Linked DNA regions of Macaca mulatta. The protein of the gene in region 1 interacts with the protein of each later gene in a biochemical or structural test. Links are inferred from orthologs where the notes say so. Each region holds a gene or a part of one and is shown on either strand. Other genes may lie near its edges.

Region 1 (4,112 bases):
GACCGCTGGTCGGAGTAAGGAGTCTTCTGGTTCTGCTAATTGGTTGTGTGATGCTGGGCAAGTCACTCACTCCCTCTGGGCCTCATTTTTCCCAATAACATGAAGAAATTGAATTAAGTGACCTGTGAGGTCAGTCCTGCCTCAATCTATGAGCTTTTGATTTTTCACTTCTCTGCCTCACGTATAATACCTGGCAATAAGTATCTATTGATTCCTACAGGCTAGGTCTTGAACAAAAAGAGAGGCTGGGCGCAGTGGCTCATACCTGTAATCCCAACACTTTGAGGGACTGAGGCAGGAGAATCACTTGAGCCTAGAAATTCAAGACCAACCTGGACAACACAGTGGGACTCCGTCTCTACAAAAATTTTAAAAAATTAGCTGGGTGTGGTGGTGCACACCCGTAGTCCCAGCTACTTGGGAGACTGAAGTGGGAAGACAGCTCGAGCCCAGGAGGTTGAGGCTGTAGTGAGCTGTGATTGCGCCATTGCACCCCAGCGTGGGTGACAGAGCGAGGCTCTGTCTCAAAAAAAAAAGACGGAGAACAAAGAGGCTGGGAGGCCCCGGTGGGTGGACCGCTTCAGCCCAGGAGTTCGAGACCAGACTGGCCAATATGGTGAAACCATGTCTCTACCAAATACACACACACAAAACAAAAACAAAAATTAACTGGGTGTCGTGGCATGCACCTGTAGTCTCAGCTGGAGGCTGAGGTGGGAGGACTGTTTGAGCCCGGGAGGCGGAGGTCGCAGTGAGCTGAGATCGTCACTGCACTCCAGCCTGGGCAACAGAGCGAGGCTCTGTCTCAAAACAAACACATAAAAAACAACTAGTGCCTTCTGTTTTAATGAGTGCTGTGATTTCTGATATGTTTATGAGAAAATATTTTCTTAGATCACGGTATGTTCTAGGTAAGATGAGGCAAATAGCCGAATAAAACAGAGGCTCTTTGCGCACACAGGTCAGAACAAGACACTAAAGCATCAGGCGATTATAGTACTGTCTTGGAAGGATTGACTCCCTCACTTTTCACTTCCGCTTTCCGAAGCAGCCAATGAGTACTCAGCAGTTCGCATTTATCCAAAAAAACTACAAATCCAGAAGTCAATGCGCGGGGCGAAGAGCTCATGCGTCAATTGGGACTGGTGGGCCCGCCCCTAGACGCGGAACTTCATTTCCCAGGCGTCCCCGGGGCTCTTCGATTTTCCTCGGATCGTGCAGGCGTTCTCCTCCCGCCCCTTGCTCACTGTCCTCGCGCCAAGTAGGCGCGCGCGCCCGCGCGCGCGGTGCACGTAGCGCGCGAGTGACGCATAATATGTGGGCCGCTGTGGAGCCGTGGTCGCGCTGTGTGTGTATGTGAGTGAAGAGTGAGTGCGGGACCTGAGGCTGTGTGTGTGAACTGTGGCCACTGGCGGGGTCGCGGGGGGGCAGTGGCGGAGCCGCCTCGGACGGTGAGTGGGAAATGGAGGGAGGCGACTCTACGGGAGGGGCGCGAGGAGGCAGGGCGCGTGGCTGGCCGGGCGGCAGAGTGGGCGCCGGGCTGGGGGAGGGGCGGCACCTGCTTGGGCCGCCGGCGAGGAGGGGGCGGGCCGGTCAGCCGGGAGGCTGGGCCCGGGGCCTGACAGGACTTTTCCTCCTCCTGATTCTTGTCCCGGGGGCGGGGCCTCCACGTTCTTCCTCCACTCCCCACGAGAAGCTTCCCGAGAGTAACTCTTCCGCCCGGAGTGGGGGGGCGGGGTGTGTCAGCCCCTACCTGGAGGGAGGGGCGCATGTCATATCCCTTGTCATCTTTTCCCTTCCAATCTTTCTAGTCTCTGTTCCGTACGGGCTTGGGGGGGCTCCATCTTCCGTACTATACGGCGGGCCCCTTCACGGACTGTGTCTCCGCCTCCAGCTCCAGTCACCTGGGCGGGCTCTCCAGTCTCTCGGCCTCGTGCCACCTCTCCCTGCACCCGCCCGGCTCTTGGACCTTGCGACGGGGGCGGAGCTTTCTGGTCACTCCTCTCATCCCCATGAAGAAGGGAAGGGTTGGAAAGAGGTGTGCGGGTCCCGCAGCCTGGAGTCAAACCTCAGAGTGCCCGCCAAACTTCCCGGGAGTCTGTTTCCGGGGGTTATAGTAGTTTTCAACTGGGGTTTCAGAAGCGTTTGCTTCACAACTTCACTTCCTAGACGGTTTTCTGTCTGGCTTCCTCTTACTGCAGTGGCAGCGCTCTGGTTTTCCATTTGTTGAGGAAATAGTTTTGGAGTGTTTGTATTAGTTATTTTTGAGTCAGAAATGACTTGTCCTTGGCCACGTCATGTTGGTCTCAGTTTTTCCTTACCCTGTTTTTTCGATGAAGCCTTTTAATTAGTCTTTACACGTTTTAATTTTTTATGTTAGTAGCATCTTCCTGTTCAAAATGCATTGTTAATGTACAGAATGAGAGGTTAATTGGTAATATCCTTCATTTTCTTTTTCCAGCTTACTGGAGTTTACCTTTAATGTTTATGTGTGTAAATGTAGACTTTAGGAATCGATTTAGTATTTTTCTTAATGATGTGAACATTTGGGTTTTCTATATAGCAGTTATTCATTACCCATTTTTGAGTAGGTATATATTTTTGGATGTTGAGATAATAGAGAATTTGGGGAATGTAGGGAAATCATTTTTTGCTCAGTACCTCTTGGGTAGTTGCTGAGTACAGTGTTTTACTGTTCTGCCTATTATACAGTTTTTAAATTTTTTATTTTTATTCATTTATTTTTTGTAGAGACAGTAGTCTTACTGTGTTGCCCAGGCTGGTCTGGAACTCAAGTGATCCTCCCTTGTCAACCTCCCAAAGTGTTGGAATTACAGGCACGAGCCACTACACCTGGACTGTTTTTTTTTTAGATACAGGATCTTGCTCTGTAGCCTAGGCTGGAGTGCAGTGGTGTGATCATAACCCTTTTTTTTTTTTTTTTGAGACAGAGTCTCGCTCTGTCACCCAGGCTGGAGTGCAGTGATGCGATCTCGGCTCACTGCAAGCTCCGCCTCCTAGGTTCACGCCATTCTCCTGCCTCAGTCTCCTGAGTAGCTGAGATTACAGACGCCTGACATCACGCCCGGCTAATTTTTTGTAGAGACAGGGTTTCAGTGTGTTAGCCAGGATGGTCTCGAGTGTGATCATAACTCATTGCAGCCTCTAACTCCTGGACTCAAAGGAGCCTGCTGCCTCAGCCTCCTGAGTAACTAGGACTGCAGGCACAGTCTACCATGATTGGGTAATTTTTAAATTTTTGTGTAGACTGTGTCTCGAAATGTTGCCCAACTGACCTCAAGTAATCCTCCCGACTTGGCCTCCCAAAGTGTTGGGATTACAGGCTTGAGCCACTGTGCCTGGCAAGTTTTTAATTTTTTTTTTTTTTTTGAGACGGAGTCTTGCCCTGTTGCCCAGGCTGGAGTGCAGTGGCATGATCTCCGCTCACTGCAACCTCCGCCTCCCGGGTTCAAGTGATTCTCATGCCTCAGCCTCTGGAGTAGCTAGGGATTACAGGTGTGTGCTACCACGCCTGGCTAATTTTTTTATTTTTAGTAGAGATGCGGATTTGCCATTTTGGCCAGTCTGGTCTTGAACTTTGGCCTCAAGTAATCCACCCACTTCAGTCTCCCAAAGTGCTAGGATTACAGGCATGAGCCATTGTGCCCGGCAAACAATTGTTAATATTATGCCATATTTTTTCTGTTTTTGTGTGTGGTATCTATATATTTATTTTGTGGACTACGCTAGCAGACACTTGTTAGGATAAGGAAATTTTACATAAGTATTTCTTGAGGCTTTGTATTATCCCACCATGGGGACAATATTGTCATTTAACCCCGCACAACAACTGTTTCCATCTTACAGATAAGGAAATTGAGATTTGGAGAAGTTAAATAACCAAGACTTCACAGGTATGTCAGCAGAATTGGGATTTGAATCCTTGAAATACTTTTTCTACCTAGTACTAGCTGGTCTTGGGGACCTCTCGGAGCTTGTTTCCTCATGTGTAAAAAAGGGTAGGATGGTTGTGAAAATTCAGAATAATGTAAGTATAGTAAATTACTTACTCAATGTCTGTTCCATACTAGATATTCACTAATTGGTAACTA
Region 2 (4,103 bases), on another chromosome or scaffold:
GCAATAAGCCCCTGTAGGCTTCCCAAAGTGCTGGGATTACAGGCGTGAGCCACCGAGCTGGGCCAGGCCCAGAGTATTGTCATGATGTAAAAATCTCTCTCTAGAAAAGAGAACACCAGCTTCCCATCTGGTCTTCTGTAGCCAGGAAATGCAAGAGCAGCAGTTGAATTTGAGATTTTCTTTGGAGAAAGAACCAAAAGGAGATATGGATGGTTTGGATGTAAGGGAAGGAAAGAGAATCCTAAGCATATTAGTAGTGGTGGGGAGGAGGTGCTGTACAGTGGTGTCATTTGGAGGACAAATCATTGGGGTTTAACCTCTGTGACTCGAAAGTCTCCCACAAGCCTGATACATTAGGCAAAATGTTTGTGCTAAGCCTTAGTTTATTGTCATAAAATAGGCCATGAAAATTGCGTGAGATAATGTATGTAACAGTTCAACAAATACTATTGGCAGGGCATCGTGGCTCACGCCTGTAATCCCAGCACTTCGGGAGGCCGAGGTGGGCAGATCATCTGAGGTCAGGAGTTTGAGACCAGACTGGCCAACATGGTGAAACCCTGTCTCTACTAAAAAATACAAAACTCAGCCGGCGTGCGCCTGTAATCTCAGCTACTGGGGAGGCTGAGGCACGAGAATCACTTGAATTGGGGAGGCAGAGGTTGCAGTCAGCCAAGATCACACCACTGCACTCCAGCCTGGGTGACAGAGCGAGACTGTCTCAAAAACAAAACACACACAAAAAATATAATAGTATTTGTTTGTTTCTGTTTTTGAGACGCCTCGGATTACAGTGCTGGGATTACAGACGTGAGCCGTCAAGCCCGGACAATACTATTATATTGTTCATTGCACTCCAACAACACCCTTAAGGGCCAGGTACTTTTTTTCCCTCCTATCCCCAGAGACAGGGTCTCGCTCTGTCGCCCAGGCTGGAGTGCAATGGCGCGATCAAAGCTCACTACAGCTCCAACCTTCTGGCCTCAAGCGATCCTCCCGCCTGAGCCTCCCAAAGCGCTAGGATTACAGGCGTGGGCCACCGCGGCCGGCCAGTCTTTTCGTCTTGCAGCTGAGCCTGGAGAGCCTTTCCAAAGGGCAGAGGTGGGTCGAGGGCATGAATGAATAGGCCCGCGGGCACCGTTGCACGCCCCACCTCCTCCCAGGGGCATTGCACTCCAGCCCCTCCCGCACATGCGCACTGGGCCTTCCACCGCCCCCCGCCCCCCGCCCCCAGCAAAGCCCCCCGCTCGGAGCATGCGCGGGCCGCTTGGCGCCAATTGCTGACCGCCACAGCCAGGGCCAGCCTCGCAGGTTCCCGGGTGGTGCGCGTTCGCTGCCTCGGCTCCGGGATGATCGGCCAGAAGACGCTCTACTCCTTCTTCTCCCCTAGCCCCGCCAGGAAGCGACGCGCCCCCAGCCCCGAGCCGGCCGTCCTGGGGACTGGCGTGGCGGCCGTGCCTGAGGAGAACAGAGATGCGGCGGTGAGGCGCGGCGTGGGGCCGGGACTTGGGGGGGTAAAGAGGGAGGAAGGCGGTGGGTCCCGCCTGACTGAGGGCGTGCAGCAGCGCGCCTCTTAACTCGGTAAACCGGGGCCCCGCTTTCCAAATAGCCTCCACGTGTTCAAAACAGCCGCCGCTGTCCCCCATGGGCCGCCATGCTGAGGGATCAGCCAATGGGGACGCGCCTCGGCGCCCATGGTGCCAATCCGCGCGCCGCAGGCCCGCCTGGCTCGGTGCGCTGTCCAGTCAGAGGGGAGAGGGGGCGGGACCCCAGAGGGAGTTTTTTTGCCGCGAAAAGGCCACGTGGGGCTGTGGGGGGCGGGTCTGGCGGGGCGGGGCACCTCGGTACTGGGTCCGCAGTCTCCTTGATGCTCCGCGGGGCCGCTTCCCAGCCCCACTCCCCGCTCCGGTTTAGAATCTAATTCCCAATTCCCGGACTGGGCCCAGTCCTGGGCTCCTATTGTCCGATTTTGCTGCGACCTGCTCCACTAATGGGCGTCTTCTGCCTTGGGCCGTGGGGGTTGGGCCAGAAGCTGCGGACTCCTGGGAAGCGGCCTCTGCAGCTCTTGAGCCGCCTCTGCGGGGACCCCTTGCAGGCCAACCCCCCCAAGAAGGCCCCGGCCGCGCAGGAGGAGCCCGGGACGCCGCCCTCCTCGCCGCTGAGTGCTGAGCAGTTGGACCGGATCCAGAGGAACAAGGCCGCGGCCCTGCTCAGACTTGCGGCCCGCAACGTGCCCGTGGGCTTTGGGGAGAGCTGGAAGAAGCACCTCAGCGGGGAGTTCGGAAAACCGTATTTTATCAAGGTAAATATGGAAATGCATCTTCCATAAGGGTAAATGTGGAGGCTTCCGGCCCTTTGTCTTGTTACTGCGGCCGGCGAAGTTCATGTTTCCATAGGCTTAGGTTGTACTCCCTTCAACGTCCTTTACTCACAAAGGGGGTAAAAGAAAGCCATGATGTTTCAGTCTGCACCTTTATATTGGTTAAAGTTGCTAACGACCCGTGAGATGGTATCATGGATTCATTTAAGTCACATAGTCTATTGTCCAGGAAAGGCTGGCATAGTAAAACCACCAACCATCCTGAATGAAACCTGGCTTGAACTTTAAAAAGCCGGGAGGAGTGGCACTGTTAGGACCCAGCCCAGAAAAAAAGGCAGGGAATTGGCCTGATTGAACCACTTGGGGGAGCGGGGGGCAGGCAGGCACTGTTTTTGTTGGTGATGGTTTTTTTTTGTTTTTTTATTTTTGAGACGGAGTCTCGCTCTGTCACCCAGGCTGGAGTACAGTGGCCTGATCTCAGCTCACTGCAAGCTCCGCCTCCCGGGTTTACGCCATTCTCCTGCCTCAGCCTCCCGAGTAGCTGGGACTACAGGCGCCCGCCACCTCGCCCGGCTAATTTTTTGTATTTTTAGTAGAGATGGGGTTTCACCGTGTTAGCCCGGATGGTCTTGATCTCCTGACCTCGTGATCCGCTCGTCTCGGCCTCGCAAAGTGCTGGGATTACAGGCTTGAGCCACCGCGCCCGGCCTTGTTGGTTGTTTTTTTAAAAGAATTTGGACATAAAACACGACAAAGAACTAATGATGTTCCAAATAACTTGCACTAGAAGCTTTCTTGTTTAATTCTTATGGCCTCCAGTGAGAATCTGATTTTAAGTCTAGTTTATCTTTAAATCAGCTAATGGGATTTGTTGCAGAAGAAAGAAAGCATTACACTGTTTATCCACCCTCACACCAAGTCTTCACCTGGACCCAGATGTGTGACATAAGAGATGTAAGTACAACTTGATGATTTTTATTGGGGAGAAGGAGTCAACTAGTATTTTTAAATTAGGGACACTGGAGTTAAGCCACAGTCCATCATTCAGTAGTAAATAAAACACTGAAATTGTGAGGTTTGGCTGACTGTGTTTCAGCCTGTATTTACTCTTTTTAATGTTTACCACATGCTATTTATGCGGCAAAAAGGAGAACTATGTACATCCTGTGCTCTTATTTCTTGTATTTTTTTTAAATCCTGAAACTAACCTCCCTCAGTGTTAGATACTATGGTGGTGATGAAGTTCAGACTGACACACAAAGCAGTTAAATCTTTTGCAGCTTGTTATAGTCAACCCCACCTTGACCTGACCACACTGCCTTATAGTTAGCACTTTCAAGCTCTTGATTTTCTGGCCTGAATAGTTTTGTGGTTCTGTTAACAGATCCCTTTGCTTTAGTTTGTCTTATATAACAGTTGCTGGTTGGCAGCTCTTGTCCATCTCATGTTCAAAAGTCCGTGGGGCTGGGCACAGTGGCTCATGCCTGTAATCCCAGCACTTTGGGAGGCCAAAGTGGGAGGATCATTTGAGGTCAGGAGTTCAAGACCAGCCTGGCCAATGAAACCTGGTGTCTCCTAAAATACCAAAATTAGCCAGGCATGGTGGCGCATGCCTGTAATCCCAGCTACTTGGGAGGCTGAGGTGGGAGAATCGCGTGAGCCCAGAAGGCGGAGGTTGCAGTGAGCCGAGATCATACCACTGCACTCCAGCCTAGGGGACAGAGGCAGACCCTGTCTCAAAAAACAAAAACAAAAAACCGTGGCTCCTCACTGTTGAACTATG
Region 3 (4,229 bases), on another chromosome or scaffold:
TCAAAAAAAAAAAAAAAAAAAAAAAAGAAGAAGAAGAAGGAGAAAAGAAAGAAAGAAAAAGAAAGAAGGAAAGAAAAAATAGATGCTGTGGGTATTCAGAGCTGCCAGAGTGCTAGCTCAGCCCAGCACTTCAAGTAGTAGAATAAAGGAAGAGAGAGCATCCCAGGCCTTACCATCCCCATCCAACTCCCTCAGAGTGGTCCTAAGATTGCGGTGGGGGTGGGGCTTTGTTGAAGAGGTTAAAAACAGAGATTAGTCAGATCCAATCCTGCTCCCACTCTATGGAGGAAACAGATTCGAATGCATAGTCACAGCCCAGGCTCTGGGATTGAGACACATAGATGGGATTGGAGAGACAGAGAGAGAGGTTCTGGTGGCTCTGGAAGCCTAGAGAACAAGAGCATTTACGCAGAGATCTGAGAAGTGAATAAGAAAGGCAGAACGTACAGCTTGGGCAAGGAGGCTTGCTGGCACGAAAACGCAAGATGTGCTCAGGCAGCTCTGATTTTCCAGGACATCAGACAAAAGGTAAAAAACGGAGGCGGGAGACGCGCCTAGACAAGGTATTGAATACCGGCCCGAGGAACTTGGGTTTCATCCAAAGAGCAAGGCAACTGAGCTCAACACAGTGACTCCGTCTCCACAAAAATTCTTTAAAAAACTGGCCGGGCCTAGCGGCGCGAGCCTATAATCCCAGCTATTTCTGCAGACTGAGGCCTGAGGATCGTTTGAGCCCGGGGAGGTCCAGGCGGCAGTGAGCCAAGATCGCGCCACTGCACTCCAGCATGGGGAACAGAGCGAGACCCTGTCTTTAAAAAGGCAAAAAAAAAAAGAAAGAAAAAGAAAAAGAGAGACAGCAGGGCAAGCCGCTCCCTTCTCTGGGCCTTGGCATAAATCAAACACAAATAAAAGTCTCACTCCCTCCTCCGGCCGCGCAAAGGCGCGGGGAGCCAGCCTGCCAGCCAGCGGAACCATGGCCTGGTAACCCAAAACCTGCACACCCTCCCGCTCCCCACATGACGTCACGTATTACCACTTACGCACGCGCAGAAACCATCCCCGGGACCCACCAAAGGTCAGGCTTAGCGTCCTCCCCATATCGCCCCTCATTGGCTAGAAACAACTGCTCGTCCCGGTCGTTGTTAGCAGCGACGAAGGCGGGTTCAATCTTGGTCGCTAGGACACGGCTGACTTCCGCTTTTCTTCCCCCTCCCCTAGGCTCAAACTAGTCAAATCTCGTTCACTCGACCAATGGCAAATGGGAAGTGGGCGGGACTTCACTAGTCCGGACCAAAGAAACGCGGGTTTAGGCCGGCGTAGCGCGGCCAATGGCCGTGGAGCAGCCCCTGTAAACTGGTTCGGGCGCCCCCACGCGTGCTTTTCCTCCTCCTCCCAGCTCTGCCCCCCCGTTTCAGCAGAGCGCTGGCCGCAGTCTGACAGGAACGGGACAGAGCCAAGATGGCGGCGGCCGACGGCGACGACTCGCTGTACCCCATCGCTGTGCTCATAGACGAACTCCGCAACGAGGACGTTCAGGTACGGAGGCTACGGGGGACTTGGGGAAGACGGGGAGGGGTACCTGGGGGCATGGGCAGCCCTCGCGGAGAAGACTCAGCGTTCGCTGGGAGTGGCGGAAGGGGCGGCGGCCAATCAACGTGCGTCTCTTATCTCCCCGGGTGCCCGGACTCATTGAGACGGCGCCCTCGATTGGGTGTTGGCCCAGTGAAGGGCGGGGGCCTGCGCTAGCCTCGAGGGTCCCGGGCCTGCTCAGTGCGCGCGGCGGTCCGCGGTCCGCGATCCGCGGTCCTGGGAGGTTGCGGCCAGGGCTGGGGTCGGCGGACTGGGTCCGGGAGAGAGGAGGGCTCCGTGATTGGCGGCGGCCTCTGAATGGCCCCTTGGAGATGTGGGGCGCTCGTGACTTGCTCCGAGTGGGGGAGAGCCGCCTGATGGGTCAGGACCTGGGAAGGTTTTTTTCTTTTCTGGGTTTCGACTGCTGGCCCAAGTGGGGACCGAGAGGCGAAGGCCTGCCATCCCAATTCCTGCTCTTTCTCCACGTCTCATTTTGGTTTAGGTGTCCTGAGAGGACGGGGACGCAAAAACACCCCCCCCCCCACCAAAGGTGGGGACTAGCCAAATTGAAGAACGAATTACGTTGTAGAAACCCGCTTCCCCATCTCCCCAGATCCTCCCATTGATCAGGATAGGGGGTGAAGGATTTGCTAAGTGGATGAACATTTCATTCTTTCTTTCTTTGAGACAGCCCCTGTGTCGCCCAGGCTGGGGTGCAGTGGCGCGATCTTGGCTCAGTGCAACCTCTGCGTCCCGGGTTCAAACGATCCTCGCATCTCAGCCCCCTAAGTAGCTCAGATTACCGGCGCGAGCCACCATGCCCATCTAATTTTTGTGTTTTTAGTAGAGACGGGTTTCGCCATGTTGGCCAGGCTTGGTCTGGAACTCCTGACCTCAAGCGATCCACCCGCCTCGGCCTCCCAAAGTGTTGGAATTACAGGCGTGAGCCACGGCGCCCAGCCCGGATGAACATTCCTGGTTATGGGATGCGGTGGCCCAAGGCTCTGAGCAGGGCTGCCACCCGCTGTGTGACCTTGTGCAAATTACTTCACCGCTTTGGGCCTCCGTGTTCCATAAAATATGGGCTAATTGTAGTCCTGGTCTTGCTGGAGGGACTTGTGAGGGACTGAACGAATTATGGCACAAATAAAAAGTCGAATGGTGTCAGACCTGTTGTAAGGGCCTGATACATATTAACTGTGATTATTGGGAGTGGTGATTAAAGAGGTCCTATCCTCCCTTTAGGTCTCAGTTTTCGCATTTATAAAATTGAACAAGGTGCACTGGGTAACCTGCCAAACGTGGGTCCCGCCTCCTAGGTTCCTGGTATATCACTGTTTCTGGGGGCAGACCGGCTGTGGTTGTATTCCTGGCCCTTCCACTTCTCACTGATTGACATGCGCAAGTTAGTTAATCTCTCTAAGCCTATTTCCTCTTCTCTTTTATGGGGATAATTACCTAGTTCGTAGGGCAGTTGTATGAATTCTTTTGTTCAGTAAACACGTGCCATGTATCAGGTATGATGCTGGGGATATAGTGGAGACACCAGTTGCTATACAGGATTCAGGTGTGAAACAGGTCAACAGAGTGTGTGAAAAGTGATGGGAAGGAAACAAACAGGATGTTGTGGCAGTGAATCCATATTGAATTGGCCTTCTATTCTGTGCAGGTCACTGTTATAAGCACTGGCATGCAGTAGGGGAGTTTACTTTGCAGTGAGGAGAGATAATAAACAGAGTATACTGGAGATAAGCAGTAGGGAGATAAATAAAAATAAGAGAGATGGGGGATGCAGGGGTTTTTTTTGTTTGTTTTTGAGACGGAGTTTCACTCTTGTTGCCCAGGCTGGAGTGCAGTGGCGTGATCTTGTCTCACTGCAACCTCTGCCTCCCGGGTTCAAACGATTCTCCTGCCTCGGCCTCCCAAGTAGCTGGGATTACAGGCATGTGCCACCACTCCCAACTAATTTTGTATTTTTAGTAGAGATGGGGTTTCTCCGTGTTGGTCAGGCTGGTCTCAAATTCCCGACCTCAGGTAATCCACCCACCTTGACCTCCCAAAGTGCTGGGATTACAGGCATGTAATCCCACTGTGCCCGGCCTGGGGGATGCAGTTTTAAAGTGTGGTGAGGGGAGGCCTTGTTGAGATCAAGTTTGAGAACACACCTAAAGGCAGAGGGCACAGCAAGTACAAAGTGGGGTGGGGCAGATCCATTTTAAGTAGGCCAATCAGGCAAGGCCCCTCTGAGGATGCAGAATTTAAGAAGAGATGGAAAGAAGGTGGGAAAGAGCTGCCCAGGAAGAGGGAACAGATATGGCCATAGTTTTTTGTTGTTGTTGTTTTGTTTTGTTTTTTGAGATGGAGTCTCACTCTGTTGCCCAGGCTGGAGTGCACTGACGTGATCTCGGCTCACTGCAACCTCTGTCTCCCGGGTTCAAGCAATTCTCCCACCTCAGTCTCCTGAGTAGCTGGGACTACAGGCCCAGGCCACCACCCCTGGCTAATTTTTGGGTGTGTGTTTTTAGAAGAGACTGGGTTTCCCCGTGTTGGCCAGGCTGGTCTCAGACTCCTGATCTCAGGTGATCCTCCTGCCTCAGCCTCCCACAGTGCTGGAATTACAGGTGTGAGCCACTGTGCCCAGCCAGTTTGTTTTTTTTTAA
Region 4 (4,336 bases), on another chromosome or scaffold:
GAAGTTCGAGACCAGCCTGGCCAACATGGTAAAACCCCGTTCCTACTAAAAATACAAAAATTAGCCGGGCGTGGTGGTGGTGGGGGGCGCCTGTAATCCCAGCTACTGGGGAGGTTGAGGCAGGATAATCGCTTGGACCTGGGAGGCGGAGGTTGCAGTGAGCCGAGACAGCCCCATTGCACTCCAGCCTGGGCAACAAGAGCAAAACTGTCTCAAAACGAAAAACAAAAGAAAAAACACAGTAAATTGTCTCTATTTGACTACTAAGAGCTATTTTAAAATAGAATTTATCTAAGTACAGTAAGGTATAATTATCCCCCTACACCCGTTATAACCCTTGATGACACTAAATAAATAATACACGAATATGGTTCAAAAATGGGCATCGTAGAGTATAAAATGAAGAATGCTTTCATTTTCCACCCAAATTCAGCAATTTCATAGGATGCCAGGCTCCATTCTAAAGCCTTGTATGTATTCAGTGCGCTGAAATTCAACAACCTCACGAGGTAGGTATAACCATTAATATTAATTCTAGGCGGGGCGTGGTGGCTCACGCCTGTAATCCCAGCACTTCGGGAGGCCGAGGCGGGCGGATCACCTGAGGTGGGTAGTTCGAGACCAACCTGACGAACATGGAGAAACCCCGTCTCTACTAAAAATACAAAATTAGCCGGGCGTGGTGGCGCATGCCTGTTATCCCAGCTACTCGGGAGGCTGGCGCAGGAAAACCCGGGAGGCGGAGGTTGCAGTGAGCCGAGATCGCGCCATTGCACTCCAGCCTGGGCAACAACAACGAAACTCCGTCCCCCACCACTCCCCCCCAAAACATAATGATTCTAAAGGGAAGCAGAGGGATCTGGCGGAAAAGTGCCAGCAAATCTAACAGGCCTCCACAAGAGTCTTGAAAGTTTGAGAAGCTTAGGGGTCGCTATATGTGATTAACTGTCAAACAAGAATATTCGCCGGGTGTCCGAAACGCGATCCCCTGGGGCGCCACACTCGGAGCCTACTTGAACCCAAAGAGTCCCTCCCTGGGCCAACGAGGGACCCAATTCCCGCGCCCGGCACCCAGCCTCTACGTGGTTTCCTAGGAAAGGATAGCGGAGGTCCGCCGCCTCAACCAGTCTTGTTAGAGTGGCACAAAAGCGTTCGGAGTGACTGCCACTGTAGCCACTCAACGCCGAGCCCAGGCCTGCTTTTTTGCGGTTAGAGTGAAACTTTCCATTGGTGGAGTCACCCTGAAGGAGGCGGGACGGAGGGGGAAAGTCCTGCCTACCTTGGTCTTCCCAGCCAATCGCAGCATCCAGGTCGCAGAACCCAGGCGGTAGCCTCCGGTTCGGTTGCGCTGTGCGTAGTGGTCTGGGAGACCTGAGGGCGGGGCCGGGAGCAGGCCCCGGACTGCGGGGAGGGTACGCTTCCCGCGGGCGCGCGGAGTGAGGACGGTGACAGCCACGCGCGCGCATACGCGCCCGACTGCAGCGCGGCCCCGCGACCCTAGTCGGCAGCTGAGAGGCGCGCAGAATCTGGGCCGCTGCCGACTAGGGTTCCCGTCCCGAGGCGTCCCCGGCATCTCCGGCCTGAATCCCGGAGTGCCAGGTCGCGCCTGCACCGACGGTCCCGGCTCCCGTGCCCTCCCAGGAGCCGTCAGGGCCCGCCCCTCAACTCCCCTTTCCGCCCGGGCAGGGTCCTCGCGGCCCATGCTGGCCGCTGGGGACCCGCGCAGCCCAGACCGTTCCCGGGCCGGCCAGCCGGCCACCATGGTGGCCCTGAGGCCTGTGCAGCAACTCCAGGGGGGCTAAAGGGCTCAGAGTGCAGGCCTTGGGGCGCGAGGGTCCCGGGCCTGAGCCCCGAGCCATGGCTGGGGCCATCGCTTCCCGCATGAGCTTCAGCTCTCTTAAGAGGAAGCAACCCAAGACGTTCACCGTGCGGATCGTCACCATGGACGCCGAGATGGAGTTCAATTGCGAGGTAACCGGCCGGCAGCCCCGACTGCTGCGGTGACAGTCGAGGTGGAAACTCGAGAGGTTCTCTTTATATCATCTTAATGGGTGTAGCTAGAGACGGGCAGAACCGGAAGGGGCCAACTAGGCCCAAAACCTCATGTTAAAGATGATTGCTGCTTTTTTTCATAGGGCTTTTGGGTTTTAGCATTTCCTGAAGGTTATTTTCATTCATTGTTATTGGAAGAAGCTGGATGCTCCTGTGATAGAAAATTCCGGATTTCAGTGTCAGGCTTAAGTTAGGCTTACGCTTAAACGCTTGAAAGTTTATTCTTTCATTAGGTAATATTGTTATGTACCCAGGTATTAGAAGTTGCGTCTTGTTTATTGGAAAGCCAATACTTGTTTTCCTTTTCTAAAGCCTACATATTCTGGAAAAAAACCCTTTGAAGAACGATATAATATCTCATACTTACTTTCCACATAGTTTCCAACATGATGATTAACAGCTATCAATTGTTCAGTATTTTCAAAGTGCCAGACATTTGCACATTTAATCCTCAGAACAAACCCATTTATCTAGTAAATGGCAAGGTGGGGTTTTGAACTAAGCTCACAGCCAGTACAGTACTGCTTCTCAAGTAATTTAAGTTCTTGCTACTAAAGGTGTGGTTTGTGGACCAGCAGCATTGGCAGCAGTAACCAAGAGTTGGCAAGCTTTTTCTGTACAGGACCACATAGTAAATATTTTCAACTTTGTAGACTAGAGAATCTCTGTTGGAGCTATTCAGCTCTTCAGCTCTGTCATTGTAACACAAAAGCAGCCTTAGATAATATCAGCTTCCAGCTTGACAGCTTAAGGAACCCATTCCTCTGTAAAACTGGTGAAAATTCTTTTTTGTTTTGTTTCATTTTGAGACAGAGTCTCACTCTGCCACCCAGGCTGGCATGCAGTAGTGTGATCATGGCTCACTGCAACCCCCACCGACCTCTGTGGCTCAATCAGTCCTCCTGCCTTGGCCTCCTGAGTAACTGGGACCACAGGTGTGTGCACCACACCTGGCTAATTTTTTTTATTTTTTTTGAGACGTCTCGCTCTGTCACCCAGAGTGCACCGGGCTGGAGTGCAATGGCGCGATCTCGGCTCACTGCCAACTCCACCTCCCAGGTTCAAGCAGTTCTCTTGCTTCAGCCTTCCAGGTAGCTGGGATTACAGGCATGTGCCATCACGTCTGGCTAATTTTTCTATTTTTAGTAGAGACAGGGTTTCAACATATTGGGCAGGCTGATCTCGAACTCCTGACCTCATGACCAGCCCACCTGGGCCTCCCAAAGTGGTGGGAAAGTGGTGCTATTATAGGTGTGAGCCACCGCGCCCAGCCTCACCTAGCTAATTTTTGTAGAGACAAGGATTTTGCCATGTTGCCTAGGCTGATCTTGAACTCCTGACCTAAAGCAATCTGCTGGCCTTGGACTCCCAAAGTGATGGGATTACAGACGGAGCCACCATGTCTGGCCCAAAAATTCTTTTTTTAAAATCAACTATTTAAACCCTCCGGCAATGGTCCTGAGGGCAAACAACAAATGAAACACCTATTCAAGAAAATCTACAAATTCGGTAAGAAAGATGAGAGGATATGGTATTTGAACCAAGATCATTCCCTCCTTACCCACTCCTAGCTTAGTGAGGTAGAGCTTCTACTCCAGACTATTGCAAACTGAAACACGGGGCACCGCTCCCTCAGCTCCCAAATCAAATGCTTTCTTCCCAGGAAAAGCTGGACATCAGCATTTCTTATCATACCCAGAGCTACTTGTTGCTGAGGTTAAAACCTGTGTGAGTGCAATTGAAAGTTGGAGCTCCCTTTTTTTTTTCTTTTGAGACGGAGTTTTGCTCTTGTTGCCCAGGCTGGAGTGCAATGGTACGATCTCGCCTCACCGCAACCTCCGCCTCCCAGGTTCAAGCGATTCTCCCACCTTAGCCTCCCGAGTAGCTGGGATTGTAGGCTTGCCCCACCACGTCTGGCTGATTTTGTGTTTTTAGTAGAGATGGGTTTCTCCATGTTGGTCAGGCTGGTCTTGAACTCCTGACCTCAGGTGATCTGCCTGCCTCGGCCTCCCAAAGTGTTGGGATTACAGGCGTGAGCCACCGTGCTTGGCTAAAGTTGGAGCTCCCTTCTTCCACCTAGTCCCTACTTGTGGAACAGGATTGTACCTTGGGCATGGCATACTGAAACTACTGGCGCCCCAATTGCTCATCCACCAGTTCTAGCAGGCTGAGCCTCAGGTTGTTGCGGTCCCCTGCCTCCTTCCACCAAGTGCTCAGTTTCTAGAGTGCGGGTATCTCTCAGAAGCTTTCCATGCTCCTTCCCCCCAGCTCCAGAGCCTTTCTC

What was found. The genes of interacting proteins can lie anywhere in the genome.
Region 2: of the proteins of DCAF1 (region 1) and UNG, one has a biochemical effect on the other in vitro, tested with the Homo sapiens proteins (2 studies listed by BioGRID, with this or other methods). The link is inferred for Macaca mulatta from reciprocal best matches to the Homo sapiens genes DCAF1 and UNG.
Region 3: of the proteins of DCAF1 (region 1) and PPP2R1A, one has a biochemical effect on the other in vitro, tested with the Homo sapiens proteins (2 studies listed by BioGRID, with this or other methods). The link is inferred for Macaca mulatta from reciprocal best matches to the Homo sapiens genes DCAF1 and PPP2R1A.
Region 4: the proteins of DCAF1 (region 1) and NF2 form a complex in vitro, tested with the Homo sapiens proteins (3 studies listed by BioGRID, with this or other methods). The link is inferred for Macaca mulatta from reciprocal best matches to the Homo sapiens genes DCAF1 and NF2.

The regions. Positions count from the first base shown.
Region 1 is NC_133407.1:114,967,529-114,971,640, reverse strand, and holds the start of DCAF1 (DDB1- and CUL4-associated factor 1), read left to right. Parts: upstream 1-1,310; 5' UTR 1,311-1,451; intron 1,452-3,867; 5' UTR 3,868-3,914; intron 3,915-4,112. UniProt on the Homo sapiens protein: Acts both as a substrate recognition component of E3 ubiquitin-protein ligase complexes and as an atypical serine/threonine-protein kinase, playing key roles in various processes such as cell cycle, telomerase regulation and histone modification.
Region 2 is NC_133416.1:116,230,306-116,234,408, forward strand, and holds the start of UNG (uracil-DNA glycosylase), read left to right. Parts: upstream 1-1,257; 5' UTR 1,258-1,349; coding exon 1,350-1,481; intron 1,482-1,802; exon of another isoform or gene 1,803-1,990; coding exon of another isoform or gene 1,991-2,095; coding exon 2,096-2,302; intron 2,303-3,178; coding exon 3,179-3,274; intron 3,275-4,103. UniProt on the Homo sapiens protein: Uracil-DNA glycosylase that hydrolyzes the N-glycosidic bond between uracil and deoxyribose in single- and double-stranded DNA (ssDNA and dsDNA) to release a free uracil residue and form an abasic (apurinic/apyrimidinic; AP) site.
Region 3 is NC_133424.1:64,384,455-64,388,683, forward strand, and holds the start of PPP2R1A (serine/threonine-protein phosphatase 2A 65 kDa regulatory subunit A alpha isoform), read left to right. Parts: upstream 1-1,383; 5' UTR 1,384-1,458; coding exon 1,459-1,536; intron 1,537-1,548; exon of another isoform or gene 1,549-3,649; intron 3,650-4,229. UniProt on the Homo sapiens protein: The PR65 subunit of protein phosphatase 2A serves as a scaffolding molecule to coordinate the assembly of the catalytic subunit and a variable regulatory B subunit.
Region 4 is NC_133415.1:21,951,931-21,956,266, reverse strand, and holds the start of NF2 (merlin), read left to right. Parts: upstream 1-1,490; 5' UTR 1,491-1,857; coding exon 1,858-1,971; intron 1,972-4,336. UniProt on the Homo sapiens protein: Probable regulator of the Hippo/SWH (Sav/Wts/Hpo) signaling pathway, a signaling pathway that plays a pivotal role in tumor suppression by restricting proliferation and promoting apoptosis.